Linked DNA regions of Mus musculus: regions 1, 2 and 3 are each reported to be linked to region 4. Evidence: microRNA targets listed by miRTarBase, many of them from high-throughput screens and not tested one by one. Region 4 holds a microRNA gene; each other region holds the end of a gene's coding sequence.
What was found. Region 4 holds the annotated microRNA mmu-miR-3113-5p (GUCCUGGCCCUGGUCCGGGUCC, at 1,771-1,792, shown strand). A microRNA usually pairs through its seed, bases 2 to 8, with sites in the 3' UTR of a target mRNA and lowers its output. Matches are read on the target gene's strand: a 7mer-m8 pairs with bases 2 to 8, a 7mer-A1 pairs with bases 2 to 7 and ends in A, and an 8mer does both.

Region 1 (4,287 bases), not on the chromosome of region 4:
GCAAGTTCACAACCTGCTTCTCACCTACCTGATTGGTAAGTCGTTGAAGAAACATCACATGTTCAACTTAGCAGGGAAGTCTGACTGTGGTGTGTAGTCAGTAAATAGATTGAGTTTTCACAGGACCTATGGGAGTGGGGCAAGGTGAGAAGGAAAGGTTCCAGTCTGTGCTGGGTCACAGCTCAGATTGTGCCCTGTGTCACCAAGGCCTGGGTTTGATGCCCAGTACTGGATAAAGCTGTCATTCCAGCCCTAGATGCAGAAGGAGTAGAAGTTCAAGGTCATCCCTTTCTATATGCTACAGGTCGGGTTCAAAACCAGCCCAGCTAGAGATTCAAGTCAGGGCTTAAGATAGAGCTCCATGGCTAAAAACATGCTTGGTTCAATTCCTGGCTCACAGCAACCTATGACTCTAGTCTCAGGGCATCTGATAGCCTCTGCTGGATTTTGTGGGCACTGGGCACACATATATTCCACATATATGCTTCTAGACAAAGCACTTGTGTATACACATAAAATACAAATCTTTTTTAAAAAGACTGGTCTCTGTTTTCCTGGAGTTCATTAAAGCCAGGTAGGTCGTGAGCAAAGAGGAGTGAGATAGAAGGCACTGTAGTGTGAGCGTGAGTGCACCTTCAGGAGGCACCTTGGCTGCAGTTTTGGGCTGAATCCTGTTGGATGGCTTTTGTGTCACTTCTCCACAGTCCACCCACATTCAACTGTAGTCATCTTCAGAGAGTTAAATATTGTCTCCTCAACTTCATTTTTTTTTTTTTCATTTCTAGTGACATTTGTGCTGTTGCTTCCTGGACTAAACCAACATGGGATCATTCTGAAGTACATTGGAATGGCCAAAAGGGAGATAAACAAACTTCTCAAGCAAAAAGAAAAGAAAAATGAGTAGTGTGGCTGCCGCGGAGTGTGCCCTGGCCCTGGGCACTGAAGTGTTACAGTGGCTCGTTGCTTCCCTCACTCTGCCCTTGTTAATAGAAATTCTCACAGGCCAGGCTCTGTGCGGGCTCTAGTGCCAGGTGTAGCTGGGTACATTCCCCGTCAGTGTGACTTCCTTTCATTTTGACAACTTCCTTCCTTTAAGATGCTAAGTGGTGAACTTTACTGTTTTGTACAGTGAACTGTGACTTTGTTGATGTTTGCTTTAGCTATATTCAAGGCAGTGGTCTGTGGCTACAGGAAGCTGGTTCTACTGTCTGCTTAACAAACTGTCTTTGTGAGTACAGAGATTGGGTTTACCACTTCTGCTGAGGAGACCACTTAAAATTCATTCCTGAGTTTCCACTGTGGGAGAATACCCATGGAATAAGATAAAAAATTAATTCCACACCCTAGTGTGTGTAAGTTCCTCGCTCATAGGAAATGCAACAGTTTGAGGGAGCATTGCCCCTTTGTTCCTGTGAGGACTGGCAGGCTTTGACTGACCTCTCATTCCCTTTGCACTGCTTCAGGTTAGTTCTAGTCCATAATGGCCTTTGAGCAGCAAGCTTTCAGAAGATTATATTTGAGGATTGTAGCAGTTTCTTTGTTTCAGATTGTCAGCTGACTTAAAATGTTTGTGACTTTCCTGTAAGGGCAGCCAGGGATAAAAGTATCCTTTGTTCAATGAGTAGAAAACTAGATTATCTATTAATATTTAAGACCAGGAAAAAAAAAAAAGAGGCTTAAGAGTAAGCCTGGAAAATCTCACTTGTTTTCGTAGTATTGGCTGTATTTCAGTGCCTCCAGCTTTGCACTTGAGAGACAAGTGTTTACTGCTGTTTGACTTTCCCCTTGACATTTCTCAGAAAAATGCAGGGCTGCAGCTGAGAGCAGACTGCTGATTGGTGACTCTGGTCTGCCTAGCTTTTGCAACTCTTTAAGCTTACTGTGATCACGTGCCCTCTCAGTAGGGGGCTTTTAGAGCAGTTGAAATCTGCAGAACTGAACCTCTGAGGGCCAAAATAGGACATTTGGGAACAACTCCTTAACCCATGAACTAGCTGTAACATAGTTTGTGGATCCATGCACTGATGCTGTGAAGCCTGCCCCTGTGTGTATCTGTTCTCTCACCTCCCTAGCACTGTAAGCAGCGGTGCCTCTTGTAGCATGTGTGTTTGTTTTTTAATGTTTCATGACTCCCACTTTGATTTTACATGTTTTCTTGTAAATAAGCCTGCCTTCCTACCTGGAATTTGTGTGTGTGTGACTAATACATGTTCTACGAGTTAACTACTTTGGCAGTTTTAATCATTTCTTCTTTGTTTTGTGGTAAAGGGGAAAAATTAAAAACCAGTTGGAACCCTTTTGTCTCACTTTCTTTGTTAACTCTGAGTTTATGAATCTAACTAGTGACCACCTGTTGTCATTGGAGCTCTTCTCTAAGGTACCCATGTCAGATGGAAAGGGAGAACACTGAAGAGGAGGAGACAGTGGAGACTCAAAAGATCGTGTACTTAAGCTCCCAAAGCAGGTGGTTGATAATCATCAGTAGTTGATAATCATTTGTCTGCCTTTTAAAATTTGGGTGTCATAACTTGCGGTCTCATTGGGAACAGGCTCCATCCACCCTTAAGCATACTTCCCTTTCTGCAAGTTCAAGTAAAGTCACAAATCCTATGGCTTTGAAATTGCTGACTTGTAATCTCTTGCGGCCAGCCCTGACTTCATGGGAAGACTTCAAAAGTTTAAAATCACAAAAGAAAACTCTGTTCTCTCATTGTGGTAATTGCTCAGGTCAGCTGTGTCTGAGTGCCCTCCTGAGGTTCTCTCACATTCAGGCTCACATGGAGACAGACATTAGGATCTGTGCCCTGTAGGTCTGGGCCTTTGGTACTTCTAGACAGGCTCACAGAAAGCCTGGGTAGGCCTTGGACTCCTGGCCCTTCTGCCTTCACCTCAAACAGTCATGTGTCACTTCACCCAACCTAGTTTTTAAGTGTCTGTAAGGTGTAGTTAAATGCCAGCAGCTCATCTTTGATTAGTTCTAATTTGCCTCTAACAAATCACAAACGTGAGTCAGTTTTTACTGGGTTCTTTTTTTTCCACTTCCCTCCAGCCCAGCCACCCCAAATTTCCCAATTTCTATACAAGTGCACACACATACACACACCCCCTCTAGGAGCTCATCAGCCTGGGGCCATCTAGATTCTGTGGCACACCAAGGTCACAACACTGGGATCAGCTAGCCAAATCCCCACAGAACTAACTAGGATCTCAGATTCATTAACTACCACCCCTCCCCACTGCTGCTTTGATCTGAATTCCTGAAGTCATTCCTATTGGGTCCATGTTAAGGAAATTGGGAGACTGGATGTGAGTTTGAGGTCAGTCTGAAATAGACCTGTGCTCAAAATCCTTATAAACCTTGGGAAAGCCTGTGGTCCTTTTGTGGGGTGAATTATGACTGGGAATGAAGACTTCCCCTGTTGTGAGAGAAGATGAAGGGGACTCTGGCGGCCAGAGCATGACAAAGATGGTTCTGGCGGGCCTTTTTCTTCTCCCTTCCTCTTTTCTAAAAACTATTAGGTTACATTCCTAAAGCTCTCTTATTTGGTCACTTATTTGCTCACTTCCTTCTGAGGCTGACTACCAAGGTCCAGCTTTCAAAGGATGGAGGTCCAGCAACCAAAAGTCCCCTTGCAGCTACCCTAATTAACGTGTCTAACCAGAGTTAGACACTTCATCCTAACAAGAGGTTTTTTCCCCCTTTACCCTCATAAACTGTCGTTTGCTCAAGGGCCACACCTGTCTCCTCTCTATGCAGAGGCAGTTCTTTGTTCCCAGGACTTACATCCTTTCCCTCCCTCTCCCTTGTTCCCCTCTCCCTCACCTTCTATCTCCTGTCTTTGTCTCTCATTCCCTGTCCTTTGTTCCTCTGGGGGAAATAAATCTTGTGCCAAACACTGCTGAGCACTGCCACATTTGTGTGGTCTCTCAAAAGCTCCTCTGAGTGGTTCTATCATCCCTGTTTTAGAGATGGAGAAACTGATTTGTCCATTCAGTTTTTTCTTCAACTATATGTCGAGGACCTACTATGTGGCAGATGCTTCTCCAGACTTAGTGTGAACAGCAATGAACGAAGCTTCCCGAACCTCTGTAGGCTTGAAGCTTAATGGTCCAGGCTAGGAGTCAACAGATTCACTTGAGGTGTAACCCCAGTTACAGAAGTGAGGCAGACAGATCACAGGGCTGCATAATAGGAGGAGGAGGAGGAGGAGGAGGAGGAGGAGGAGGAGGAGGAGGAGGAGGAGGAGGAGGAGTGTAACCCCAGTTACAAAAGTGAAGCAGACAGAT
Region 2 (4,287 bases), not on the chromosome of region 4:
TAGAGACTGCCATAGCCAGGGATCCACCCCATAATCAGCATCCAAACGCTGACACCATTGCATACACTAGCAAGATTTTATTGAAAGGACGCAGATGTAGCTGTCTCTTGTGAGACTATGCCGGGGCCCAGCAAACACAGAAGTGGATGCTCACAGTCAGCTAATGGATGGATCATAGGGCTCCCAATGGAGGAGCTAGAGAAAGTAGCCAAGGAGCTAAAGGGATCTGCAACCCTATAGGTGGAACAACATTATGAGCTAACCAGTACCCCGGAGCTCTTGACTCTAGCTGCATATATATCAAAAGATGGCCTAGTCGGCCATCACTGGAAAGAGAGGCCCATTGGACTTGCAAACTTTTTTTTTTTTTTTTTTAAAGAGTTATTTATTTATTATATATAAGTACACTGTAGCTGTCTTCAGACACTCCAGAAGAGGGAGTCAGATCTCGTGATCGGATGGTTGTGAGCCACCATGTGGTTGCTGGGATTTGAACTCCTGACCTTCGGAAGAGCAGTCGGGTGCTCTTACCCACTGAGCCATCTCACCAGCCCGGACTTGCAAACTTTATATGCCCCAGTACAGGGGAATACCAGGGCCAAAAAGGGGGAGTGGGTGGGCAGGGGAGTGGGGGTGGGTGGATATGGGGGACTTTTGGTATAGCATTGGAAATGTAAATGAGTTAAATACCTAATAAAAAATGGAAAAAAAAAAGAAATAAATCTCTAAAACATTAAAAAAATAAAGAAACCTCTATGAGACCTAGTGTTCTTGTGTGTGTATGTATGTGTCTATGTGTATGTACATGCACGTCTGTGTATGTGTGCTTGTATGAATGTATGCACTTTTAAAAAATTAGGTATTTTCTTCATTTACATTTTAAATGCTATCCCAAAAGTCCCCCATACCCTCCCCTCTTACTCCCTAACCCACCCACTCCCACTTCTTGGCCCTGGCGTTCCCCTGTACTGAGGCATATAAAGTTTGCAAGACTAAGGGGCTTCTCTTCCCAATGATGGCCAATTAGGCCATCTTCTGAATGTATGCACTTTTGTAAGTGTGTTTGAGTGTATGCATTCATGTATGCATGTGTATGTATGTGACTGCTTATTCAGCTATATGAGTACACACGTGTGTATGTTGTATACATGGGTGTATTGTGCATACTCATTCATGTGCACATGCATGAGTGCATGTTTGTGTGCACATGTGTGTGTGTGCATGTGTGTTCATGAGTATAGTATATGCATGTGTGCATGCTCACAAATGTGCACACATGTGTGGACTTATGTTCATGCATATATTTTTGTGTATGCATGCAGCCACACATGTGTATATTTAAGTATATATTTAAAACACTATAAGAGAACAAAATAATAATCTGAGTATATAGCATATAGCATTGTTGGTTATATAGCTGTATGTCCACTTGACACAAGGTAGCAATGGTTCTTAACCTGTGGGTCTCGACATCTTTAGGGGTTGAACAACCCTTTCACAGGGGTTGTATATCAGGTATCCTGCATATCAGAGATTTACATTCCGATTTAATTAATTAATTAATTAATTAATTAATTATATGTAAGTACACTGTAGCTGGTCATGGTGGTTTTTGTTTGTTTGGTTTTGTTTTTAAATATTTGTTTGTTTGTTTGTTTATTATATAAAAGTACACTGTAGCTGTCTTCAGACACACCAGAAAAGGTTGTCAGATCTCATTACAGATGGTTGTGAGCCACCATGTGGTTGCTGGGAATTGAACTCAGGACCTCTGGAAGAGCAGTCAGTGCTCTTCTTAACCGCTGAGCCATCTCACCAGCCCACATTCTGATTTATAACAGTAGCAAAATTACAGTTATGAAGTAGCAATGAAAATAATTTTATGGTTTGGGCATTACTACAACATGAGGAACTGTATAAAAGGGTCACAGCCTTAGGAAGGTTGACAACCACTGAGCTAGGTTATCTGAAAGGAGGGAACCTTAGTTGAGAATGCTGCTGCTATAAATTCCAGCTGTAGGGCATTTTCTTTTTTTTTTTTTTTTTTTAAAGATTTATTTATTTATTATATGTAAGTACACTGTAGCTGTCTTCAGACACTCCATAAGAGGAAGTCAGATCTCATTAGGATGGTTGTGAGCCACCATGTGGTTGCTGGGATTTGAACTCTGGACCTTCAGAAGAGCAGTCGGGTGCTCTTACCCACTGAGCCATCTCACCAGCCCCTGTAGGGCATTTTCTTAATTAGTAATTGATGGGGAGGGTCCCACCCTTGGTGGGTGGTGCTATCACTGGACTGGTGGTCCTGAGTTCTGTAAGAAAGCAGGCTGAGCAATCCTTGAGGAGCAAGCCAGGAAACAGCACCCCTCCAGAGCCTCTGTATTACCTCCTGCCTCTGGTTTCTGCCTTGTTTGAGTCTCTATCTTGATTTTGGAATACAATGTGGAAATATAATCTGAATAAATTAAATCCTTTCCTCCCCAGCTTGCTTTTGGTCATGGTGTTTCAAAGCAGCAATAGAAACCCTAATTGAGACAGGTATAAAGTGTCACATGGCTTTAATTTTCAGGTTGCTTTTGGAATCAAACATGTGAAGCAGCTTTTTTAAAAAAATACATTAACAATGAGGAGAAATCAGGAGACCTAAACCCCATAGTCCTTGGACCTGAGCTCTGTCTGTGCCTTGGGACTTGGATGTCTTGATTCCAGACTCCTTGGTTCCTGCAATGCTGTCTGTCTGTCTGTCTTTCTTTTTTTTGTTGTTGTTTTTTTTTTTTTTTTTTTTTCTCGAGACAGGGTTTCTCTGTGTAGCTCCTGGCTGTCCTGGAACTCACTCTGTAGACCAGGCTGGCCTGCCTCTGTCTCCCGAGTGCTGGGATTAAAGGCGTGGGCCACCACCACCCAGTTCTCTCTCTCTCTCTCTCTCTCTCTCTCTCTCTCTCTCTCTTTCTTTCAAAGTCTGCAAAACCAGTAAAAGGTGCTGGTGCAGAGGACAAGTTGCCTACCCACTGAGCATGCTCTTCCGTGTCTCCAGGGAAGCTGAGCAAGCATGAGCTCCGCACTTGCATACCACGATAATCACTAGACAAGACATTGCAGTCCATCTCTCATGGCCAAGGAGGGTCATTCATAATCAAAATAAGGTAGTCTAGCAACCTTATTCTAACTACTGTGCCCTGGATCCACACAGGTTGGGGCTGCCACTGTGTACTTGAGATTTTCACAACTCTCGGCTGCCACATCTGGTGTTGATGTTCTCAGGGGAGATGGCATGGACAGAATGGACCCACCTGAGTGCTCACAGACACCTGCCTCAGTGCTTGGCTTCCAGCATGTGCACACAGGTGTCTTTCAGAGTATTACAGTGATGAAATGCCCAGATCCAGTGGGCAGCAGGCAATTAGGGCTGGAAATGCTTTGCTCTGTGTTCCAGGTCAAGTAAGAGCCAGTCAAAGTCTAGGTCAAGGGTAGGGTTGCAGTTGCTTATCACTTGTCCTTCTCCTGTGGTAGAGGGAGGTTCCAGTCCGTAGGGGGCCTTTGCCTCAAGGCCCATACCAAGGTGTGCTTCTGAGCAGCCTGGACCCGAACCTGCTCGCTCTCACAGAGGGATCGCTGTACAAATGAGACTTGGTCACTTACTGTTTCACCACTGGATCCTAGGGCTCTTAGTACTGCTGCATGGCACCTATATCACCCTCTTCCTCAACACTCTTCTGAAGAGAGGAACACATGGGAGCACATGGTACACACAGGCTCAGCTGCTTCTATACCACACTCCTTGGCAACTGTTCTGTTTTAGCACACACCGGTCATCTTACTTCAGCAGTTTTATTTTGTGTTCTTTGGACATGTTTTAGACAGGGTCTCAAGTAGCCCAGGCTGGTCTCAAGATCACTATGTATGACCTTCAATTCTGAGATTGTTGTCTCCACCTCCCGAGTGCCGCAATTATAAGCATGCACAACTATGTTCAGTCTCTGCCTTCAGCCATGCAAAACCCGCTAAGCCTCAGCAACAGCAGACCTGGAGAGTGTGGAGCTAGTTACCCGCCTAGCCTGGGAGTGAGGACACTGGGTGGGGAAGAGAGGGAGAGCGTCTAAAATTACTGTTGGACTCTGCACAGGGTATGTGTAAAAGGTGCCCCCCATCCTGCCAGCTTCTTTCAGCCACTGCCAACAGACACTAGACAGTGTATTATGACAGGGCTGATCCTGGCAAAGTGTCAGGTGCTATGTAGGCCTCTTTACAAACATTCTTAAACTGGGAGCGGTAGTATTCCCAACAGTT
Region 3 (4,287 bases), not on the chromosome of region 4:
CCTGAACAACATGAGTACAAGACAGTCAAAAGTCTCAGCATGGATGGGACTTAATTTTTCAATTTAAAAACCCATTTTCTCAGGTGATGGCTATTAAGGGAGGGAAAGTTACTCTTCTTGGTGCTGGGAGGATTAGTAGACTGCCCATACCCATCACCTCATACCTCTTCATATATAGGAAGTGCTAACTGAATTTAGTTGGTTTTATAAAACAGAGATATGAAACTGAGAAGGAGCTGTGTTGGGAAAAGTTTCCTCAGGGGAGTCGGAGGGAGGGATTGATGGATAGCTATGACCAAAATGAATTGTGAACATATATGACATTCTCATAGAATAAAACATTAAGAGAAAAAATGGCCATTGGCATATGCAAACTAGCTAAAAATTAGAATAGCAATTTGTTTTTGTTTAAAATACACTGATTATTTCAATGGATGGAAAACTACAGTAAGTAACATAAGGTCTACTCAGGTTTTCAAGGTCCACTAGTGATATGAATACTATTCTATAAACATTGGCCTTTGAAAAAGAATCTAAATACAGAGCAGCTGGCACGTTAGTAGCTTCTATTATGTTGTCATCACAAAAAAAATGAGGAACCACTAGTGTTCATTCAACTGTGTTCATTCAACCACTAGTGTTCATTCATTCACTTATACAAAGCAATTTTGATCTGAATAAAAATCAGTCATATAATTGTACTGTGTGGCAGAGAAAATGGATTCCTAGGTCGGGTAGATCCTACATTCTCAGAATCTACCATTCTCATATCGTTCATTCTTTTTAAAAAGATTCTGAATTACACTTTTTTTTTCCTCACATAAGCTGTATATACCAACCGCTCTCAATCCCCTCCTTTACATCTTGTCTCCCTCAAAAAATCCCAAGTTCAAGTCTATTTATCTTGTTTCTCAACCCATTGAGATTAATATAACAAATGGTTTGCAGCTACCACACCTTAGTGGACTCAGCAGTAGATACAAAACTAAAAGCAGGGGAGTCCCTTTCTTTTAGAATTCACCTGTGTGCACTGGCTCAGAGCTGTGCTGCTTCATTTGTTTTAAATTTGATACAAACATGAGTCACCTGGGAAAAGAGAATCTCAGTTGAGGAATTACCTTCATTCAATTTGCTTGCGTACAATTCTGTGGGACACTTTCTTAGTGCACAATAGATGTGGGAGAATCCAGTTCGTTATGTGTGGTAATAGCTACTAGTAATCAGCTCACCTCAATGGTCTCTACTTCAGGTTCTTGTAATGGCTTTCTTCAACAACCCATAAGCCAAAGAAATCCTTTCCTTCTTAAGCTGCTTTTGCTTTCATTAACAGCAACCTAGCTAAGAAGAGGGAGATGTGGAGATTCATGTGGGTGTCTCCTTCCTCGACTGATTTTTGATAAGTCATTTTTGTGTGGGCCCCTGTAGGTAAGTACAATTTTCATGAGCTGACCATTGCATTGGTTGGAGAAGTCTGGAAAACCGTTTCCTATCTCTGTACTCTATCTTCCAGCTCAATACTTCCTACTTCCTCTTGCACAGTGTGTCCTGAGCCTTACAAGAATAGTATCCCTGCTTTGATAGAACTGACCCCACAGCTGACACTTGGGCAGCCAAGAAAAAGAAAAACATTAGACTTTTAAAAACTGTACATAATATGAAGACAATTTATAATAATATAGACAAATTAAAGGGTTTTATAATAGACAGTATTTAATTCATATCAAAAGAACTGTAGGGAAATTTCTGCAAGATTTCATATTTGGTGAGGCATCCTTCAAAGAATGAACTTAGACGAACTAAGGATGATGAATAAGGGATAGAGAAAGTCATCTTTTGAAAATGATCAGTTTTTAATATGTTCACCAACAGAAGCACTATAATATGCGAGGTGAACAGTTTTTTCATGGAAAATGAAAATAAAAATGAGAATAACAAAAACTAAGATATGGTATATTGCGTGCCCAATATTGTCTTTTACCACATCATACTACACTTTTATTTTCACACATACGCTGTATATACCAACCACCCTCAATCCCCTCCCTTCCATCTCTTCCCCCTCAAAAATGTCTCAGTCTCTATAAACTGAACTAGAGAGCAGTCTACAGAACCTTAGCCTGGCAAAAGGGATGGAAATTCTCCAGGAAGAAGAGTTCCCAGAACACAGAGGATGAAAGACACATGCAACCACGCACACACATGCAGGAAAGTTACGATTAAACACTTGTATAAAATGTCCTATGAAATCTAGTTCTCTATAAAGTGAAAATACCCAGTATGGAGAAAATTGATAATGTGTATTTTGGGAAAAAATAATTCTAGAACACTATGTTTTAAAACTCTTGATTTCCCTTTGAGCAATTTAACTGTCTGCTAATCCTCAAGAAATGACCAGGCAATTTTGCCTTATTCTTAAACTACTTTTCTGAAATTACTTCTGACACTCTGCTTTTCATTTTTCTTTTGTATTACCCAGTTCCTTTCCCTGATCCCTGCATTCAAATTATCTCCATTGTATTGGCTTCTATATCCCTACTCATATAAAAATATTTGAAGTAGTTATTTTCTACTCAGCTCTTCCATAATTATAATCATTACCTTGTTGTCTGATACTTCATTTCTTTTTTATTAAATTCATAGCACTCCTCTTATTCAACATTTCTCTTGTTATAATGTTTCTAAATAAATGACTATTTTTCCAAAAAGCAAATCTCTGCATGATTAGGTAGAAATTGTGCATTTCTACTAGGAACCACTTATTTATATTGATGTCAGTAAGTCAATTTAGATAAATAAAATCAACTCTGTTTTTTTTTTTTTAGAATGATTCCAAGTCAAACCATGCATGTAAAAGTAAAAATAATCTTTTTGAAACTTATTACTTTTAATATTCTTATGGAAAAATTCACCAGCAGGAATAAAAAATACCCTAACATTTTACAGAATTTAAGTATCAAAGCACATATATTTTCACAGAAACAAATGCATCACTACCATAGGATCACACTAATGAAAGGTTTATACATAAAGCTGTTTACCATTATGAAAACCAGTGGTAATAATAATATAATGCACCAGTTCGTTAGTCTCTCTCTCTCTCTCTCTCTCTCTCTCTCTCTCTCTCTCTCTCTCTCTCTCTTTAATTATACTTCCTGGCCTGCAGAAGTACCTGCCAGGATACAAATGAAAAAAGATGAAAAAAGTGAACTCAGTTCAAATAACAACTCTGTCAGCAAGCTCTGACTGCCATCTCCCCCTCTAGTTACTACATGATTCCATCACACTGCTTGGGCTTTCCCCACATGCCAGTGTGGCCCCTCCCAAGGAACCAAATATTCTCACTTGGAAATTAAAAGACTATTTTAATACAAAATAACAAGTGCCACATCAGGACTTAATATTCTGCACAATGAAACTTAACACAAGAGAAAAAACTGCCCAGTCCTAAGGGTAAGGCAGATAGAGATTTAAAATAGGTCAGAACTGAATACTGGACTGGTTTGAAAAACAAAAGTGACTTAAAAGTTTCATTTAGTTTTCAGGCTGATTGCTTTTCAATGCACAGATAATTCTCTAAGGGCCATTCACAGTCACTTTAGATATACTTCATCAGTGGCATATACAAAGCACCATATAATATAAGAAATGTAGAACATCATGACTATGTAATTAACTGTAGAAATAACTGCTAAGAAAATATAGCAATATTTAACACAGGATTTCTAAAACCATTAATGTTCATTAATTTCCCCAAAGCTAATATTTTATTTTATAGACTTTGTCTATCAAGAGTGGCCCGCATTTGTAGTCTCATGGTGGGCTGGCAATACGTTTTCTCTTCTGTACAGCAATGTTACAGTTGTATACAGACATCAGAAATGTGGCATTTGGAGCAGGCTTTCTGTTACCCTTCCAAGTGTTCCCGGTCAAACAACAGCGAATACACGGAATGCCTTTCCTCCTGTAGGGTTCTGTAAACTGCAAGAACACAAAAGGGACATCAAGGTCATCTGTACATATAATCCTTCCAATACATCTTGCTCTGTGAGGACATTGAAGCAAGGAGCTCCATGAAGTCAGATGGACCAACTGTCTCAGACTACCATCATTTACTGTTCTGGGGAAGCTCTGGTAAGGATGACATAATCGTCTAGGTAGTGGCTGGACTGAACATTACTAAAGTAAATTGAGAAGCTCACGAAGGACAGTAGACACTCCACAGTTTCACAGCATTGGGGGCATGTTATTATGAATTGCCCCGTAAGTTCTAATACAGTGGAGTTAGGC
Region 4 (4,000 bases):
TAGCACGAAGTAGATTTGTGTCGTAAAGAATGCCCTTTCGTGATCAAGCCAAAGATCCAGAGACCCAGTACCACTCAAGAAGGAGAAGAAATGGAAACTGATATGGATGGTAATTAACAAGTTATTAAGCCAATGATATTTCCATGTATGTGATTTTTCTATTATCCTATCCAAATTCTAATTCTTACTCATAAATTAAAAGGCACACAGGTTTCCAGGTATATCTTTCAACACTTTTTATATAAATGATATATAAATTGTTAGGGATAGACCTGGGAGGTAAAGCTACAGTAGACCACTAAAGTCACTCTACACATTTTTTTAGTTTATTATCTTATTTACACTACTAAAACCTAATAAGCACCGTGTAGTCAAAATACTGTCTTTTTTTTTTTTTTTTTACCTGATAAATTACCTGGAGACTATAAACTCATAAATGAGACCTTGGAAAACTATCTTAAGATCAGAGATTTTAATTGGTTATTGTTTAGGGATCTTTTAAGTGACAAAATTACAATTGCAAAACCAGATCATTTTAGTTTTCATGTGTGTTATATGGGTTTTTTTTAACACTTTCATCTCTTTCCTAATAGAATAAAAATTCATAATAGAATAAAAAATACTGCCCCAAGCAGATTTCTTATAATTTGCAATAGTCTTAATGACAGAGATTATTATTGTGTATCTTACTATGTTTATGATAAAAGTACTACAAATGTAACGCGCCGTTTTGTTAATAGTAAATAGTATGTTGTTCCTTTTTCTGACTTTGTTTTTGGGCACCATTATCTGTGCATGTTGCAGTCCACAGAAATCCTTTTGCTCAGTTTCTGTTTCTGTTTTATTGGGAACAAGCTGACATTTAAGTTCACAGGTGAGATTCCAAGTGTTGAATAAAATGTGTTTATTAACTGCTGATAAATAATTGTTGACTATCCATTGTAAATCAGCAATTGTCAGAATTTAATAAGCAGAACAATAAGTGCTTGGTAGATTCTGGCGCCATCTGAAATGCTTGATTCAGTAAATTTGCAACTGAAGACCAGGAAACAAGTATTTAAAACTAATCCAAACGATTGCATTGAATTCTCAAAGAAATTACATACTCAATACAAAGAAAGTTACACAGCTGTTCGTCCTTACTACTTGTGTAAGTAGGTGCATGCATTAAAATAACTTTAAAATGTTACATTTATAAAATTAATAAGATCCCCTTTAAAGTTTACATAACTGAAACATTGTAGATAGTAAATATTTGCTTTTCAAATCTAAAAGTAAATGTTAATGCTCAGTCTTAACCCTCTGCCATTAGCTGTTAATTTGATGTGACTCAATACAACTTTATTTCCTTTTCATTTTCACATCTACAAGTATATAGTTTTTAGAACAGAGAGAGAGGAGAGCACAAACACATTCTGCTTTTATTGTTCATTCTATGTATCATAGCCATCCTTCCCTATGAACATCAGTGCTTTTTATATTTGTTAATTAACCTCTGTTAGTAGTCTTGACTTACTACCTCCCTCTTAGCAGTAACATACAAAGTTGCATGTTTTACATCTCACTCAGTGGACGAAGTTTTCTCAGAAATCTTTCTTTTCTTAGTACCTTTTATTCTAATTAGTTTCTTTATCATAACTTGTACTTTAGTTGCAGATGTAACTATGGAAAGCAGTCCAGGCTCGTCCATATCTATGGAGCACCGGCTGGATGTTGAATTAAGGGCATCAAGTTCCAACAGCAGCACTAGCATCTCTGGCCCTGGCCCGGGTCCTGGCCCTGGTCCGGGTCCTGGCCCTGGTCCTGGCCCTGGTCCTGGTCCTGGCCCTGGCCCTGGCCCTGGCCCCGGCCCTGGCCCTGGTCCTGGCCCTGGACCCCGTCCTGGTGCGTAGACACATAGATACACAGTCTTTTACAGTGACTGACTTATTAAACTAGTGAAGAAGAGAACATTACACGGCACTTATTGGTACATTTGAGGATAATCTTATAAGAACATGTCTTGCAACATTTTATGGTCTTCTGTTAGTTCACACAGTATCAAAACAGACATTTCGGAGGGCAGATAATATCCAAAAGTGAAGTTTGAAGTTGAATCTTTTTACTCTACAGTATTTCTGTTTTTATCTTTTTCTTTTTGTTCCTCTGTCTGTCTGATTTTAATACCGGTCATATGCTATCTTTGGTGATTTAATTTCAGCTTTCAGAATACTCTCTCTCATGTCCAGAGATCTCACTTTAAATGTCTGCTAGTTTTGCTTTAGTGGATATAGACGGGTCTCTTAGTACATGTTTTGTGTGCCTCTTCACTGTGATTTAATAATGAGCACAATATGATACTTTTTTCTTTCTCCCATGTTAGGAGTTCAGTGTATTCCACAACGAGCAGCACTTCTCAAGTCCATGTTGAATTTCCTCAAGAAGGCCATTCAAGACCCTGCTTTCTCAGATGGCATACGACATGGTATTTTGATTCTGTATACTGTTTTCTAAGACCACTTGGTTATCCAGATTGTTCTTTTTCATGTTTTCTTGATGTTTTTCTAAAGCATACTTAGTAAACTGATAGCTTTTTGTTACTTAATATGTTTCTTAGACATGAGGGTTACTTACACAACTCCACTTCCCAGCTTTGGATTCTGATCTCTTCTATCCTACTGCCACCTCTCATAGTCTCCATGTCTGTTCTTATTTTGACCCTCTATTCAAGCTAACTGCATGAATAAACTAAGGCGTTATATGAAACAGAGGCCATAGACTTGATCATTTATTTACTACAGTATAACATATTGCTACCCATCACCCTTGATCTTCGTGCCTCACCCAGACTTATCATATGTGGTCTTTGTTCATATTTCTTTTAGTGATGGATGGTTCTTTACCTACCTCTCTGAAACACATCATCAGCAATGCAGAATACTATGGTCCATCACTCTTCCTCCTAGGTGAGTAGAATTGAAGTTCGGGCTAGGTTGAATGTTCTGGCATACATTTATAAAGTACCTGGAGGCAAAAGGCAGTCAGTTCTCTTGAGTTCAATGCCAGCTTGCTGCATGTGTGTGCACGCAAGCTTTTAGAACTTTTTTTTAATTTCTTTTTTTATGAGATATTTTTTCATTTACAACTCAAATGCTATCCCAAAAGTCCTTTATACCACTCCCTACCCTGGACCCTGCTTTCCAACCCACCTACTCCCACTTCCTGGTAAATGCTACAAAGCCCATTGTTTTATCCCACTACGCACTTTGGCATCACAAATGCAAGTTGGAACTCCATTTAAAATTCTATAAAGCAATTTAGGGGGAGATGTAGAAATTGCAATTTCTTTGAACATAGTGGAGTGTACATTGTACAAATACATTATGGGCAGTCTAGAGATTTGTATTTATTATGACTTTACCTTTTTGCTAATGAAACAGTTTATGAATCTGTATTTCTATCTTGTGATCTTGCAGAATTTACTAGTTTGGTTTTCCCTGTTAATGAACCAAAATGTTTCCATTTACTCCAAGGATGGCAATATGACCCAGTATTTCCTTTTTTTAGTGAAACTTCATGAAGCAGGTATACTTTGTAGTTGGATCTATGATATTCCAGTTACTAAATATGAGTACAGGTCAGGTCCTGTAAAGGAGTTGGAGTTGTGACAAAGGAAAATCAGCCTAAGGTAGATTGAAAGAGTTCCTACTGGGAAAATTTGTATCATAGCAGACAGACAGTTAAAAATAGCCTTAACAAAGGATGTTGCACATGCTTTTAGTTAAGTATCTGGGAATAATACTCATAAATGGAAAGTTAACGAGGAAGTATGTGGCAAGGTTACAGTGATCTGTAGTAACTACACACTGAAACTCAACAAATAAGGAATTTGACATTTCTTTTTTTTTTTAAAGATTTATTTATTTATTATATGTAAGTACACTGTAGTTGTCTTCAGACACACCAGAAGGTTAGTATGGTAGAAATATAGTTTTTTTTAAAAAGGCTTGTTAGTGTTGGT

Region 1: the mRNA of Arl6ip1 is a reported target of mmu-miR-3113-5p. Seed matches in the 3' UTR shown: 7mer-A1 at 1,655-1,661.
Region 2: miRTarBase lists 2510002D24Rik as a target of mmu-miR-3113-5p. Seed matches in the 3' UTR shown: 7mer-m8 at 2,813-2,819.
Region 3: the mRNA of Crispld1 is a reported target of mmu-miR-3113-5p. Seed matches in the 3' UTR shown: 8mer at 3,150-3,157.

Annotation. Positions count from the first base shown.
Region 1 is chr7:118,116,909-118,121,195 of GRCm38, reverse strand. It overlaps Arl6ip1 (ADP-ribosylation factor-like 6 interacting protein 1), which reads left to right. Exons shown (of 6, transcript NM_019419.2): 5 at 1-35; 6 at 786-2,306. The coding sequence ends at 904. Among named protein-coding and RNA genes, the nearest start is that of Rps15a, 2.9 kb to the right of the region's middle.
Region 2 is chr16:18,838,415-18,842,701 of GRCm38, reverse strand. 2510002D24Rik (RIKEN cDNA 2510002D24 gene) reads right to left here. Exons shown (of 3, transcript NM_001033164.2): 3 at 2,589-3,612. The coding sequence ends at 3,487. Among named protein-coding and RNA genes, the nearest start is that of 2510002D24Rik, 4.0 kb to the right of the region's middle.
Region 3 is chr1:17,763,754-17,768,040 of GRCm38, reverse strand. It overlaps Crispld1 (cysteine-rich secretory protein LCCL domain containing 1), which reads right to left. Exons shown (of 15, transcript NM_031402.2): 15 at 1,834-3,978. The coding sequence ends at 3,927. Among named protein-coding and RNA genes, the nearest start is that of Gm16070, 38 kb to the right of the region's middle.
Region 4 is chrX:151,857,805-151,861,804 of GRCm38, forward strand. Mir3113 (microRNA 3113) reads left to right here and starts at 1,758; the gene lies at 1,758-1,833. It overlaps Huwe1 (HECT, UBA and WWE domain containing 1), which reads left to right. Exons shown (of 83, transcript NM_021523.4): 16 at 4-109; 17 at 2,363-2,464; 18 at 2,865-2,945.